Linked DNA regions of Diceros bicornis minor. The protein of the gene in region 2 interacts with the protein of the main gene of each other region in a biochemical or structural test. Links are inferred from orthologs where the notes say so. Each region holds a gene or a part of one and is shown on either strand. Other genes may lie near its edges.

Region 1 (7,695 bases), on a different chromosome or scaffold from region 2:
TTTGATAAGCTCACATCATCCCTGATTTCCAGGCCAGGCCTTCCCACAGGCCACTGGCTGGTCTCTGGACTGGCCAGCCTTGAGTCAGTTGCCCACTTGGTTATCTCAGTCAGCTGAGGCCAGAGGAGGTGGGGGTCACGTAACACATTTTTGGGGGTCTAGGGCTGCCCCATCAGCAGGGGTTTGTCCCCCTTAACAGTGGCTGTGGGTGTGGCTGGTACAATGTTTGATGTGTTTAGTAAAGGAGTTGTAGTCCTATGGAGCAGCCTTTTGTCACAAGCCCTCCTAGTCACGCGATTAGTTCATAACGAGCTTACAGTCCACTGAGCGCAGTTTTCTAATTTGTAAAATAGGTGAGTTGGGCTCACTAAGATCCCTTGAGCCTCCAAAATGCCTGATAACCACCTTTCCGCTCAAATTTTTGTACATCAACTATTGTTAAGCCAGACTCCCTCCCTCCTAAGCTTATGTAATTTATTTTTTGAACCCCAAATTTGATTTGTCAATAAATGCTAGCGATTATTATTTATCTTTATTACCTTCCTTCTGTGGTTTGGAGCTGTCACTTTGCCCTGCTGCAACGTTAGATTCTTGAGTCTGCCTTTCGGTGTATTTGCTTTTCCTGACAGCTCTCTGCATCAGCTATACGAATGTGCTTTCTGTGTCACCATTCAAGACAGGACCAAGCAGAGGCCTGAGGTAGTCACGGGAGGCCCACCAGCACTCTTTGGCTTCAGTGATCAAAGAGCCACGAATCCCTTTAACAGTGCTATCGATGGCCCACCGTTCTCTCTCCTGACTCTGGAGCTATTTCAACAGACTTTAAAGATGCTTTTGTTAAAATCTACACCTACTATAATCTGCAGCCATCATACCCTTGATTGATGTCAGACATCATCTGACAATCCCATGTTTTACAGACAGGAAATCGTGACTTGCCCAAAGCCACACACCGTGGCAGGGCTGGCTTCTTTATCTATAATACCATGTTCTTTGCATCATGCTTCCTTCACAGTTCAGGAAACTTTTCTATTGCTGCTGTAACAAACTGCCACAAACTTAGTGGCTTAAAAAATACAAATTTCTTATCTTACGTGTCTGTTGGTCAGAAGTTTGACACAGGTCTCGCTGGACTAAAGTTGAGGTGTCGGCAGGGCTGGTTCCTTTCTGGAAGCTCTAGGGGAGAATCCGTTTCCTCGCCTTTTCTAGCTTCCAGAGGCTGCCTGCATTCCTTGGCTCATGGTTCCTTTCTCCACCTTTGAAGCCAGCAACTGGGTGAAGTCCATCTCATGCTGCATCTCTCTGCCCCTTCTTCCACTGTCGAATCTCTTTCTTCCCATGGCTCTGAGAGCTTCTCCCTTTCAAAGACTCACATGATTAGAGTGGCCTACAGGGATAGAACAGGATGATCTCCCCATCTAAAGGTCCTTAACTTAATCACATTTAAATTTTTTGTCAGGTAAAGTAACATATTTACAGGTTCTGGGGATTTGAGTGTGAACATTTGGGGAGGCCATTGCTTTGCCTACAACAGCCTGTCTGCAGATTAGGGCCTCCCAGAGCCAGTGCATTAGAATAATGAAGACAGATATAACCTGACTTGCGGAGTCTCTGGAGACTTCCTGGGCTTCTTGATGTTGGCTGGACTTCACCAAAGTTCACACAGATGAGCCCCTGTCCACAGGGCCCGTTCTTCCCAGCTGCCCTCAGAGCCAGGCTCCCTCCTCCTGTCCACCTTAACAACCACTCCCTCTAGTAAGCAGCAGTGAGGTCAGGGGAGGGCGAGGAATGGGCTTTGGGGTTTGTCCTCTAGGATCTCAGAGGGTATTATGGGCCTCGAAATGCCAAAATGTACGGCTCTGGCCCCTCAGTTCCTGAAAACCCTCCAGGTGTCCTGACATCCGGGCGGGTGAGGTGCAGCTCGGAGTTACAGGTGTCCTTTCTGATGTCCAGGTTTGAAAGGTAATGTGAATGTCTATATCACAAAGACCCCATGTGACACACACGGGGATAGAGAAGGATCCCACTCTCACACTGTATTCACAAGAGAAGGCCACAGAAGAGAATGCAGAATGTCACAAGGAGATACGTAATCATCACCAAAAGAGCTAGAGCAGAGACACGCAGCCGCCTGTGTAGGACGTCCACGGATCGTGGGTGTGCAGCTCAGCATGTCCCAGCTCCCTCCCCAGCCCATGGACTCTTTTTGAACGCATACTGGAAGCTTGGTTTTGGCACTTTACCTGGCATCCAGGCCATGTTCACTTGTGTGCTGGTTCTGAAAACTGGGACATTAGCTACAGTTTACAGAATTCTTACAAGTTTCCTGCAGTTGATTTACACACATGCTGCCCCCCCACCCCGTTCACCACAGATACAGGTACCCTGACTGCCCCCACCCACCCTGCCAGCAGCTGCTATACACGCTCCCACTCGTTCTCACGGGCCCCTGAGGCCCCCAGGGAGTCACCAACTCATACCACTGCCTGTTATCTGGGGGAGGCCCTGACAGGGTGCCTGGGGGAGGGGCCTGGGTAGTTGGAAACTTTAATCAAGCGGGGACGGTTAACAGCTGCAGGGATATCTTAGGAAGCAGTGAGCCTTAGAAAGGAAATATTTGTAGAATCCGTCCCCATGACCTTTTAAGACTTTTCTGAAAATGGCCCGTCATTCCTTGCCATGGATAAAAATAACATCTATCACAGGCATCTTTCAGTCCACAGAATCCTTCGTGCTTAACCCTCCACACAGGCCCTAACATAGACGCTCACCTCACACAGACACCCCAACAGACCACAAGGACCCAGGGATGCATGTGCATGCATGCACACTCACACACATGCACACACCTGCCTCTCCCTTTGGCTCCTTCCTCGGGGGACAAACATACTCTTCTGCCTCAGTGGGCACTTTCTCTGGAGTGGGATGGGTGGTGCTGTCTGGCAGAGCTCTAGACCACCCCACGGGCCCACCACAGTGCTCCTCCACACACCACTAACCATACACTATGAGCTGTTAGCGGTTAGCGTGCGGTGAGGACCTCTTTCCCCTTGCTTTCCCTCCCCACAGCTGCAGAGGGGAGTTTCTGAGGGGGCGGATGTCACCCATTGGGGGTGGGTTTTTTCCCACTTTCATATCTTGTCTTGTCCTAGCCTCTTCTCACCCCCAGAAGAAGGCCTTTTTGGGGTCACACCCTGGTAAAAGAACGTTAGGGAGCAACTCTGAACCACTGCTCAGCTGCCCCCTCCTCCCCACTGTGTCCCCCTCCTCCATCAGCCAGGCCCTCACCACCAATGAGCCCCTCAGCCCCTAGTCTTCCCCCATAAATGCTCCTTTTTCCTCGGGGCTGGGTGTAATGGGACAATGTTGGGACTTTTTAAAAGAAGAACCTTACTAGGGAAGTAAGAGAGGAATCACAACCAAACCAAGAAAATATCAAACCCTCAGCTGGTACAGAGTATGCTCAGCACCCTGCTGCTTTGTCTCTTTGCTCCCCTCTGAGAAGCTGCAGCCCTTCCTCATTCTCCTTTGCTCGCCTGCCCTCTGACTCCCCACAAGAGTTCATGAGCGGTCAGTACAGCAGGCTCTTCCACAAGCTGGGGTGGTCCCTCCTCCTCAGGACAGCCCAGGCCTATCCCAGAGCCCCTGGCTCCTGGACTCAGCTTGCTGGATCCAGCTCAGATACTGGGACACAGGGGACACTATGAGTCTGGCAGGGGGCAAGATGGGATGAGGAAGGGGCTGATTGGCCACAGGTGTGATCACTCTGGCAACAAGGGTGGAGGGGGCCAGGGCAAGGCTGTGAAGAGGGGATCTGGGGTGTTTACAGAGGAGAAACAGTTTGGTCCCAGACCCTCTGCATCCTCTAAAGGGCTACCACACTCCCAGGAAGGGCTTCAGACAGAGAACCTCCCTGTGTGTGGGATCTGCAGCAGCTCTGTGGGACTACAGCAGGAGAGGAGCTGAGTCCACTCTGAAAGCCCCCAAACCGATAGGGTGATGCGCCTCACCAATTTAGGGACCCCTCTATGGGAACCCATACCTGCTAGGAACCCCAGGATGATGAGGAACTAGGGCTCCACACTAGAATCTCCCCAATTTGATGAGAAGGGTGGGGCCCCACCCTGGAGCAATCATTGGGGAGATCCTCTAGGGTCAGTTGAGCACAAAAGAGCTCTGACTACGCATAGATACGCCTGTGGACGCTGCAGCCAGGAGAGAAGTGTGGGGCAGATCAGGGTAGATGAGCAGAAGGATGGGCATGAAGCCCAGCACCGCCCAAGTGGGTCTGGGATGCATGATGGGGAGCACAGGCAGGACACAGGGACAGGCCTGAGTAGTGGTCCTGTGACACCCCCACCCCTACCACATGCTCTGGACCTCAGTTTGCCCTCCCCTGCTCCTCTGACCAGGACTCAAGGATGCAATCCGCTTCACTAAACCCATCTGTCTGAGACTTGCTCACATCTTCCTCTTTTGTGACTGGAAGTCACAGGGCAGAGCACTAAGCTGGGTGGTCACAGAGTGAACCCAGAACCTACGAGTGTGAAGGGACAGAGGGGAGCGTGGCAAGGGAGGCTTTGGGCCATTGGGAGACTGGGGAGACAGGTGGGGGCAGAGAAGCTCAGGACCATGGCTGAGGCCATCACCTATGCAGACCTGCGGTTTGTGAAGGCTCCCCTGAAGAAGGGCATCGCCAGCCGAGTAGGACAGGGTAAGGGTGCATGAGCCCTCTCCTTGACTCTGCATCCCCAACCTCCTTCATAACCCATCCCCACTCTATAGACCCCATTCCGACTCCCACCTTGCTCCCTTTTCTCTCATCTCCAGATCCAGAGGCTGACGAGGACGGGGAACTCACCTATGAGAACGTACAGGTGCCCCCAGTTCCAGGGGGCTCGAGCTCGGCTCCTGCTGGACTAGGGGACAAAGCAGGTATGGAGAGCCCAGGTATGTGTTCGTCGGGGGCTGTGTCTTGAGCTGGGAGGCCACAGTCCGCATTCTTGGGAGGACAAGATCCTTGGGGAAAGGAGAGGGTTCTTAAGAAAGAAAAGCGTGAGCACTGGATAAAGGGAGCCAGGGGGAGAATGAAGCTCCCTGCGGCAGGGGAGATCCCAGGGGAAGATCAGGGCTCCGCTGTGGGATCGGGACAGCCCTGGGGGAGGGGAGTCCCAGCGGGGATGGGGAGTCTACGGAGAGGGAAGGCAGGGTTGGGGAGGGGGTCTGGGACCGGCAGATGAGGGCCCCTGAGGAAAGGATAAAGGGAGACCCGGGAGGGAGAAGAGGGGGTCCCCGGGGAAAGAGCAGGTAGACCCGGGAGGGACACGGGAGATCCCGGGAGTGCTGGGGGCCCCGGCGCAGCGGAGCCCGGGGTGGGGGAAGGGACATTTCCGGGCCTCCCTCATCCAGCTGGAGCCGCCGGTCCGCAGGGCTCCAGTCGCAGCCGCCGCCCGCCGCGCGGAGCTCCGTGACGTCGTCGGCGGCCAGGCGCCTCCTCCGCGCTGAGTGCGGCGCCCCCGCCCAGCGCACGCGCGCCCCCGGGCGGGTCCCGGCCGGCGCTGCGGGGTCCTCGGGGGCGGCTCTGGTCGGTGGTGAGCCGGGGAGGCCCCGGACCATTCCCCAACTCCTTCACTCGTCCTCGTATAGATCTTTCCGACGTGTCGCCCCAGACCCCCCCCCCCCGCCCCCCTTACGATGGTCCCATTCACATACCCACTCCCCTGTCTCGGTCTGAGACAGTTCCACTCCTACCGGGTAGTGCCCCTCACTCCTTACCGGTAACAATCGTCAACCTTTATTCTGGAACACCTTCTTCCGCTACCTGCGGAAACTCACTCCCGACACAAACAGCCATGCCTGCCCCAGGTCGTCGAGGGATGCTCTTTCCCATGAATCTCCCCACCCACCCATCCCCCAGTCTGTAAACTGGTTCCTGGGGCTCACCGGCCTCATCCCACTGTCTCCCTAAGGCCGTGCAGCCTTCAGGCAGTACCTCGTGCTCGGCGCGCTCCTCACCTGCTTGCTGCTGGGGGTGGCCTCCATCTGCCTGGGAGTGCGCTGTGAGTATGGCTGACCCCCACTTCCCACTTACCCCTAACGACTTTCTCCTCTGCTCTCCCCAACGGCTGCTCTTCCTCAGCAAGGCCCAGGGGCACTACCACCACATCCTTAGCTTTCCATCTGGTTTCCAGCCAGGTCTGTTTTAGAAGGCCATCTTCCTAAATTGTCCTTACCTAATCCAGTACCTCCTTAAGCTGTAGGTGGTCAGATCCTATATTTCAGCCTGTTATGCAGAAAGTTGCAGGAAGCAGAAAAAGGACTGGCACTGAAGTCTCCCGGCACCAGGGTGCGGCTGAAGAAGACACCCTCCAAATCTCTCTTTATGGCCAAACAGATCTGCAGGTGTCTCAGCAGCTCCAGCAGATGAACAGGGTTCTGGAAGCCACTAACAGCAGCCTGAGACAGCAGCTCACCCAAAAGATGACCCAGTTGGGGCAGAGGGAAGCAGCTCTGCAGGGGTCCCGTAGGGAGCTGGCCCAGACTCAGGAAGCACTGCAAGTGGAACAGAAAGTTGGCCTGGCTACCAAAGAGCAGTTGCAGGCCTGCCAGTCCGACAGGGAGAAGACAAAAGAGGACTTGCAAAGGGAGGAGGAGGAGAGGAGGAACCTGGAACAGAGGCTGAGCAGCATGCAGGACACACTGAGGCCCTTCTTCACATGCCCCTCATCAGGTATCTGCTCTGGGAGAGGAGAAATGGGAGGGTCTGCTGTGAGGGATGGATTGAAGTGAGGAGACACTTGGGGCAGCGGTCTGTCTGTCTATCAGGGAGCCACTGACTTGTTCAGGAAAGGAGTAGTGAACCAGAGTGGTGGCTGACATGAGCTGTGCAGCCTTGACCAACAGGGAGAAGGATCTAGCTGCATACTGGAGTTAGGGGGACTCGCCCAGCTTTAAGGCGGATCCTGAGGTGGAGAGGAGGGTAGCAGCCAGCAATGCAAATCATACTGTCCAAAGCAGCAAACTCAGGTCTCATCTGGCTTGACATCAGTGTCAAGGATCTGGAAACTCCCTGAATTTGGATGTGAAATTGGTTGTTTGCCCATATTTCTAAAGAAAGTGTCTATAGCTTTAATTAATTCTCACTACATCTGAGATTCCCCAAAAGATAGAGAACTACTGATTGACAAGGTGCAGTCTGGTGGTAGGGCAAGGCAGCTGAAGCTCTTGAGTGTGGGTGGCACTCACAGTGAGGTGGGTGGGGGTTTCGCGGGGTAGGGAATTGGGGTGGAGTGTTCATCCATTTTAAGAGCAGGAGTCAAGCCGGTATGTGGGGATGAGGGAGGGGACACATAAAAGGGGAGAGGCTGTGCCAAAGCAGGCTGAGGTTCGAGGCAGGGTGCCAGGCCCAAGGGGACTGGTGTGTTCATGAACTGGTTATCTATGTTTGAGGTTAGGCTCTGTCTAGCTCAGGGGCCATCTGGATACTCCCCCAAGGCTTAGACAGCGAGATCATGTGCGGACACCCCCAGCCCTCATTTCTTTAACCTTCCTATTCTCTATGACCCTCAGTTCCTTGCCAGTGCTGCTACATGTCCCCTCAGCTGCACCCTAGACCTCAGTATCCCAAACTGCTCTTCTGCTGAAAGGCAGGTTTCAGACCTCCACTCTGACCACAACTGCCCACCCCTCCACGCT
Region 2 (7,719 bases):
AGGACCTGAGACTTTGAGACCAAATGCCCGCCCGGTCCCTTGCAGGCTCACACAGGGGGCAGGCAGGGGAGGCAGCTGTGGGGGGACGGCACCCGGGCTGCTGTAATGCCAGGAGCAGCAGCATGGAGCTGGCCCAGCGTGGCACTGCCAGGTACACGTCCGTGCACTGGGTGGGGGTCAGGCTCACTGGAAAGCGAGCCACTCCACGGAATGGAGATGAGCCAATTCACTCATCCCGAGCATCACCTTAACTGGCATGCTGAATAGCACCACCCAGCTCCAGGCGAGGCCCCCTCGCCCGCCGTCTCCACTTGCCTGAATCAGCAGATACTTCCTCCTAATAAATCTCTGCTTTCCTGAGTCGCCTCTCGACAGCAGATGGGCCATGAGCTGTGCAAAGTCCCCAGTGCAGAGGAGCCTGCTCGACTGGCTCTGCTCTCGGGTGACACCCAGAGATGTCCCCAGACGGCCACGGGCCTCAAGTGGCGCGGGGGAGCTGTGGGACTGCACCTGCCGATCCCAGGGGGAGGGAGAGAGGGCCTCCCACCATGCCTCTGTCACTTTTGCTAGCCAACCTCCTTCTTACCTCTCCTCTCCCCTCTGCAACCGGAAAAGTCGAGAGAGAAAGAGCGGCCCCAGGAGGGACCTGCAAGGACGGAGCCTTTCTCCCAGGGACCACCCTCGACAGTCAGCCGACAGCAGATTCATCTGTACATCTCTACGAGGCCAGCATCACCCCACGGCCACCCCTACACCGGACGGTTAACAGGTCACCGCTGTCCCTCCCACGAGACCCTGGAGGCGGGTGACTGGGGGCACAGGGGCACTGCCCGCCACCTCACCCCCCAAGTTCTTTCAACCAAGCAAATTCTTAGCATGACGGGGAAGGTCGCTGTAAATAAACAATCAGGAAGCAAATTCACTTTCATAGCAGTAGGGGCCCAACCCAGGACACTGGGGAGGCCTGGGGGGACACAGGTCCCAGCTGCCAACCCAGCAGCTCTGGCCCCAGGCTCACCACACAGGACAAGGGGGCAGAAGAGGCTCTGCAGCCCCCTCCCGACCCCACCCATCCCCAGAAATGGGACCCAGAAGGAGGGTGTGGGGAGACAGGCTCCCTCCAGAAGCACAGAGGACCGACGAGACAGCCATTGATCTTTGCAAAGCAGTATTGATTCTGCCGTGTGCTGGCAGCGGTGGCGAGTCCTCCCCCACTCAGAGCCGGCCATCAGCACACGCTTCCCAGCGCTGGCCTCCACATCCCTGCCTGGTGTGGAGACACGGAATCTGCCTCGGACACCCACACAGAGGGGGTCACACGGATGATGTCATCAGGTCATCTCCCCAGCCCAGAGCCACTGGACCGCTGTGTGGCATGGCCTTGCACCACAGCTCAGCCGGGGTGGGTGCACCACCCACCAGGGCCCTGAGCAAGGCCACCAGAGTTCCCCAGTCTCGGGGGATGGGGTCTCTGCAAGACTGCATTTTCTAACAGACATGTGCTCCTCGGGAGGGCGGGCAGAGGAACTCACCGGCACTGTCTCAGAGGGCAGACAGACAGACAGATGGACAGATGGCGAAGCCCATCATGGGGAGCCAGTCCCCCTCCTATGCCAGCTCCCGGTTCTGCAACACTGTGCCAGAGAGGGACCCGGCACAGCTGCCTCTCTGTGCCAGCGATGAGTTTTTATTTCCTGATCCAATGTACCTGCTGGGTGTACTACAGACACTTCTTCAGTCTGAAGATCTGGCCTCCCGGGTGTGAAACGCCCCGGTGTGTCCCTCACCGTCCCCTCGTTCCTGAAGGCTTTATCCCTGGAAGGACATGGTGCCAGGGGTACTCAGAGCAGGCCTCTTTCTTCTTCTTTATTCTTGCAGACGATGTGCACAGACACCAACCGTTCAAGTGACAATCGGGGCATTATCTCTTCTAGAATCCTGGCCACAGCCTTGGCAGAAGCGGCCTGTTTCTGGGACACAGTAAACATTCCCAAATAACGGCGCCCAGGCAGCCAGCAGGCAGGCCCCAGGCCTGGGGCAGATATGAGGTGACAGGCCACCGGTGTCACCTCACTCCCTGGAAAGGAAACTTCCACTCGGTGGCGCCTGGTGGATTTGAATAGACTCAGAACAGGAGGGCTGGCCCCTTGGCCACAGGCCCCAGGTCGGGCCTGGCCTGCAGGCACCTGGCCACCCACAGCCTGGACCCGCTCAACATAAGGGGAGATTTTCAAAACAAAAGCAGAGCAACTTGGCGCGGCACACGCTCGAGAAAGCAGGGCCCAGCCCTTGACAACAGGCCTCATTGTCAGTGACCTGCCCACCTACAGACTCCCAGGCACCCTCGCCCCCCAATACTAAATCAAATAAATGAAGAGGAGGACCCTACTCTCCTTTCCATGTTTACACTGGCAAAACCCCAGCGGATCCAGCTCCCTGCAGCTCACCAGGCGCCTGCAACAGGTGCAGCCCGAGCCGAAGCTGGTGATTCTCCTCGGCTCTTTCTAGAACCACGAAGCCAAACCCTAAAGGAAGCCGAGGCCTGCAGCACTCTGCCGTGGCCCGACCTGCCCCACCTGTCTGAGTGCGCGGCTCCGGGTCCTGCGCGCAGGGCCCCGGCCTCCGCGACATAAATAGAACCCGCGGGGCCCCGCCAGGCCGGAGTGGCCGGAGCGCGGCGGGGGCCCGGCGGACAGGAGAGCGGCGGGCCTGGCCGAGAGCGCCGCCCCTCTCCCGGCCTGGTTCTGTTGCGCGCCCCGCGCCCCCGCGTCCCCCGCGCCGCTCGGAGCCACCTGCGCGCCGGGGCCGGGAGGGAGGCGGGGAAGGGAGGGGACTTGGAGGTCCGGGGAGGGGTCCGAGGAAGGCACTCTGGGAGGGGACGGGGGTCCGAGGCTCCGGGGCGGGGGCTCCAGGAGGTGTCCGGGGAGGGTCCCACCGCCCCCGCGCACCTGCCTGGTCCGCGCGCTGCCTCCGCCCGCCCGCCCTTACCTGGCGCGGAGCGTCCTGGCCGCGGACACCGAGCGGGACCCGGCTGGCGAGCACGGGCGCAGGAATGGCGGCCGCAGCGGCGGCGGCGGCGGAGGAGGAGGCCCGGCTCGGAGGGCGGCGGAGGCCCGGCTCGGCCCGGAGGCGCGGGGATGCTGCGGCGCGCGAGGGCGCGGGGCCGGCAGGCAGGCCCCTCCTCCGCGCCCCTCCTCCCCTTCCCACCTCCTCCCTTGCCTGTCCCCTCCCTCCGCCTCCTCCCCGCCCTCCTCCTCTCCCCACCCTCTCGTCCCCTCCCCTTCCCTCCTCCTCCTTCACCTTCCTCCACTCCCTCTCTGCCCCGCCCTCCTCCTCCTACCGCCTCTGCCACCTCCCACCGTGCGCTCGGCCCCAGAGGCTGCCCGCCTGTCCTGGCCTGGCCTCTCCTGGGTCCAGCACGGGTTCTGATGAAGTGCCCAGTCACCCACTCCTCACCACCTGCTAATGGACCAGCTTGCCCCTTCCGGAGTCTGGCCTGACCCCACTCTTCCCAGGCCCTCTCCAAACCCTCAAGGATTCCCGCACCCCCTGGTGCAGCTCTGCTGGGGACCTGACCTGCACAGATGTGTGGGCAAAGCGTGCGGGCTCCCGGGACACTTTGCTGCCTTGCTTCTAAGCAAATCTGACTTTGGGGGAGAACATTCCAAACCAGGCCCCCTGCCATTCCCTCAGTGTGAGGCGGGCAGGTCCCTCCTGTCTAGGCTTTTCCATGGTCCTCTGGGCCCCATGCCAACTGTTTGCTAAGTGTGCACCATTTTCCACTCCAGAGGCCAAGGGTTCCCCAGTCCCTAGGTGACACACATTTGTACTAACCCACGGGTGTGGGGACCTGGGTGCCCTCAAAGGACTGCTCCAGGATGCCTCCCCCCCGCCCCCGAGGGAGAAGTGACAGGCCTGGGACAGTGACTGACTGGCTGAGGGACACCGTCCCGGGAAAGGGCACGGTTCCTGATGAACCAGCCAGGCTTTCCCTGCGCGCAGGAGTCGGGGTGCTCCCTCACCAAGCCTGGCCATAGCTCTCTGGGCTGCAGCCCCTCCGGAGCAGCCGAAATCGCTTCCTACTGACCGCGGCTGCTGAGCGCCAGAGCGAGACTTTAAAAATGAAGCTGCTCCTAAATGACGAGTGACAGCCCAAGAGCCTCAGTTGCCTTCAGGGGCCTCCTGCCTTTCTGTGCTGGGACCCGGAGAGCTGGGCCTTAGGGCCAGTGGACGGGACCCCGGGCCAGCAAAAGCGGGAAGATGGCGGAGCCATGCCAAGGGTGCAGGCAGGGCTGGGCGGGAGCTCACCCCCCAACTCTGAGAGTGGGGTCATGACCTGGGCTCTGAGACTACAGGTTGAGTCTTGGCTCCATGCTTCCAAGGTGCCCTGGGAGCCCTGTCCTGTCCTTCCCGGGGTGAGGATAGGCCACCATCTCCAGGGTTGCCTGAGCACAGGGAGAGAATTGCAGGAAAAGCTCGCAGCCCTGTGTGCTCTGAGTTCGGTGCTGGTGACTGTACAGGAAAGTGGGGAGACGTCCTTTCCAAGCTCCCTTCCAGTTGGGGGCATCCGTGAATCTCTGCCCCTATCCCATGTGGACCAACACCTGATGGGAAGGGGTTAGGGCATGACTGTTTCAACAGCATCCCCCCCGGAAGAGAGCCCCGCTCTTAGGATCCATCAAGGCAAGCACTGCAGAGACGGAGGGCTCACCTGTACTCGTCCTTGGTGAGGCACGTCTAGAACACAGTACCCTTGTGGTGCCAAGGACAGCCACCAGCAGGCCGTGGGAGGGTAGTTGACAGACCCGGAACTTTTAGGCTGGAAGATCGATGTGTGGAGCACAGGACAGTGGCATCAAATATTTGCAAAGCTGTCCGGGAAGAAGGATTACCCCGTGGGGTTAGGAGAGGCAAAATGAGGACAGATGGGTGGAAATTAGATTAGGGAGTAGATTTCCGCTCACTGTGAGCGCTTTCTGGCAGACCTGCCTGCCGGAGGAGCCAGCCGCCCCTGAGGAGCATGTCCCTCACGTCCAGTGTCTAGACAGGTTCTGGGGCGGCCGCAGGAGGCTGCTGGAGGGGGCCCGAGCAGGGGGATGCGGCCCGAGCCTCTCTCAGCTGCTAGACTGTGCCATGCTCTAATCTGGTCAAGGGCGGTGCATGGCAGTTACCACTCTCCTTTCCTCACCGTCTGCAGAGTCGAGGGCGCCAGGCACAGCAGAAACCAACTGAGCACACTTGACCTGGAGCCCATGCTCTGGCCTCAGGGCCTCCCACAGTCGTAAACCCCTCCTAGCCTGTTCTCTCATCTGTGTACTGGGACAGGAGAGGATTCGATGAGACAATAGCACGACCCCCCCAGCACCTGGGAGGCCCCCAGAAATGTGCCTTCCCTGGAACACGACCTCCCGGGTCACACAAAGTGACCCCGTTTGTCTCTTCCTTCTTGTTGTGGCTGCTTTACCTTCTATTACGGGACATTTTAAACATGTGCATAAGAGTCAAACAAACCCCCGCTCACGGGGGTGGCGATCTTGTGTCACCTCTGACCCACTCCTGGTCCCCTCTGATACTAATTTGAAATGTATCTAAGACAGAATATCGACCAATTTGTCTTCGAGCTTCCCAGAAATGGTGAAGGTTTAGATACGTGGGCCACGTTTAGTGAAGTTGCTCTACGTTTCCCGCCAGAAGGTTGACGCTGTCTGTGTGCAGATGCGCCAGGAGACTGCCCAGGTGATGCTGGAATCCCATGAGAGGAGACGCGCGGTGTGGCGGTTCAGGCGGTACAGGCTCTCCTCAGCCTCCCCGTCACCCATGCCGACACGAGAGAGACACCATTTCCCGACCTCTGCTCCTCCGTGTGGCCCTACACGTGTGTGGTTGGCTGAGAGGGGTTTTACAATCGTCCACATGGGGAGTATTTGAGCAAGGGAGGGAATGTTCCAGAAGAGCTGGCAGGTTGTGTTTCACCTGCAGCCGCAGGTGCAGCCCCAGAGCCCAAGCCTGTGAGCACTCGGCTGGCGAAGTGGAGGGAAGTGGCAGTCCCTGGAGACGTGGGCCCTAAGGGGCTCAGTCATGTGGAGGGGGGCCACTGCCTACTTCCAGGTCTGGGGAGATGACTTTTGAACGTGACCACAAAGTGCTTTGTGGACACCTGGGACCTGGCCTCCACTCTGAGTGCTGCCATGGCTGCTGATGGCCCCTCACTGTCCCTCCCCCACTCCAGAGAAGCCCACCTGCTGGCAGCCTCCCTAAGATAAAGGGCCCTCACAGGGCTCTTCTGGGGACCTCATTGCCAGAGCACCCTCTTTAGCTGGAGGGGAAGTGCCCGGGGGCCCCCAGCGCCCTCCTGGGCCCCTGCCCCACCGGGACCCCTGCTGGACGCGAGGGCTCTTTTCCGGCAAGCTGCATTCGGGCTGCAGCAGCTCACTGAAGGCCTGGCGGCGCCGCCGTCCCTGTTCTGGGCGTCTTGCACGGCACTTTAGCTGTCAGAGCACAAAGCACTGGCTCGCTCTGCTTAAGGGGTGTAATCTCGCCCTCCCGCACTCTCTCCTAGCGCTTTCCACGTGGCCTTCCGTGGTCAGACCCAGGGACTGTAAACGCTCCAGGGAGCGGAGCACTGCCCCAGTTGGACCCAGGGAGAGGGAGAATCCGGGCGACAGAGCAGGCTGCCGGCACGCTGCCCTGGCGGAGTAGCAGCCTGACCAGCGCTGGTGTCCTCGAGTGACCTGCACCAGCAGCGCCTTCCTCAGCCCCAAGGCGACGCCACCGCCCCTGCCGAGGCTCCTTCCCGTGCCCTGCCTCTGGCAGATGACCATCAGGCCTTACCCTGCAACTCAGCCCGAGCACTGTTTCTCCAACGCCCCCCACGCACCCCGGGCGCGGCCGGGCGGCCCCCACCTTCTGTGATGTCGCCTCGCACGGCTCACCGGGGGGCCACCACTACTGTCTCCTGGTCTGCCTCTTTTCAGTCTGGTCTTCATTCTGAGCTTCTGGAGCTTGGTGAAGTCTATTGGCCTCTTTTCAGAATAATGCTTTTAAATGCACAAAATAAAACAAAGGATTAGAAAGGAAACCAATTACACTGAAATCCAGTTGTCAAAATATTTTAAAATGTGATCCGTTTGCTTCATTATTTACACATTGAGTAACACACTCTAGCAGCAGGTCTGATAAGTAGTGATTCTGAGGTCGTGATGAGCTGCCCTGTACATGAGATGTGATGTGACAACCTCGGAGATTCCAGCCGGGTCAGGGGGTGCGTTGGGCTAACGTGACTGTGTTCTGTTGTCTTCATTGATCCTGGAAGGAAATGCCTCACTGCAGTTAGAGGTTAGTGGGAAAAATGTAATTCTTTTTTTCCCATCCATTGCATCTGGATGGACTCTCCAAAGTCTATCCTGATTAAGAATTAGTATTTTAAAGGGAAGGGACTTTGGATTCCCAGCATCCACACAATGCTTGTATAAAATCGCCCTCAGACATGTTTATTGCGTTAATGAAGGAGATGGGACTCTTGGTTGCAAGTGACAGAAGTTCAGCTCAGACTCTTGGCTCACTTAGATCTAAAAGGGTTGCAGGTACAGCTAGATCCAGGGGCCGAGATGCAATTGTTGATCTTTCTTTTGCTGACTCCTCTCCTTCTTTCCCTCTGATTGGCTCTGGTTCTGCTTGGGGTTGGCAGCCTCAATCCAAAATGATGACGAGTACTCTTTC

Evidence for each region. The genes of interacting proteins can lie anywhere in the genome.
Region 1: the proteins of SEMA4D (region 2) and CD72 form a complex in vitro, tested with the Homo sapiens proteins (2 studies listed by BioGRID and IntAct). The link is inferred for Diceros bicornis minor from reciprocal best matches to the Homo sapiens genes SEMA4D and CD72.

Annotation. Positions count from the first base shown.
Region 1 is NC_080767.1:4,063,526-4,071,220, reverse strand, and holds the start of CD72 (B-cell differentiation antigen CD72), read left to right. Parts: upstream 1-4,621; 5' UTR 4,622-4,632; coding exon 4,633-4,714; intron 4,715-4,830; coding exon 4,831-4,935; intron 4,936-5,429; coding exon 5,430-5,505; intron 5,506-5,758; coding exon 5,759-5,865; intron 5,866-5,969; coding exon 5,970-6,059; intron 6,060-6,394; coding exon 6,395-6,730; intron 6,731-7,695. UniProt on the Homo sapiens protein: Co-receptor of B cell receptor (BCR) that plays both positive and negative roles on B-cell functions. Recognizes the Sm/ribonucleoprotein (RNP) self-antigen ligand, and coligation of CD72 and BCR inhibits BCR signaling.
Region 2 is NC_080761.1:56,672,630-56,680,348, reverse strand, and holds the start of SEMA4D (semaphorin-4D), read right to left. Parts: upstream 3,062-7,719; 5' UTR 2,989-3,061; intron 1-2,988. UniProt on the Homo sapiens protein: Cell surface receptor for PLXNB1 and PLXNB2 that plays an important role in cell-cell signaling. Regulates GABAergic synapse development. Promotes the development of inhibitory synapses in a PLXNB1-dependent manner.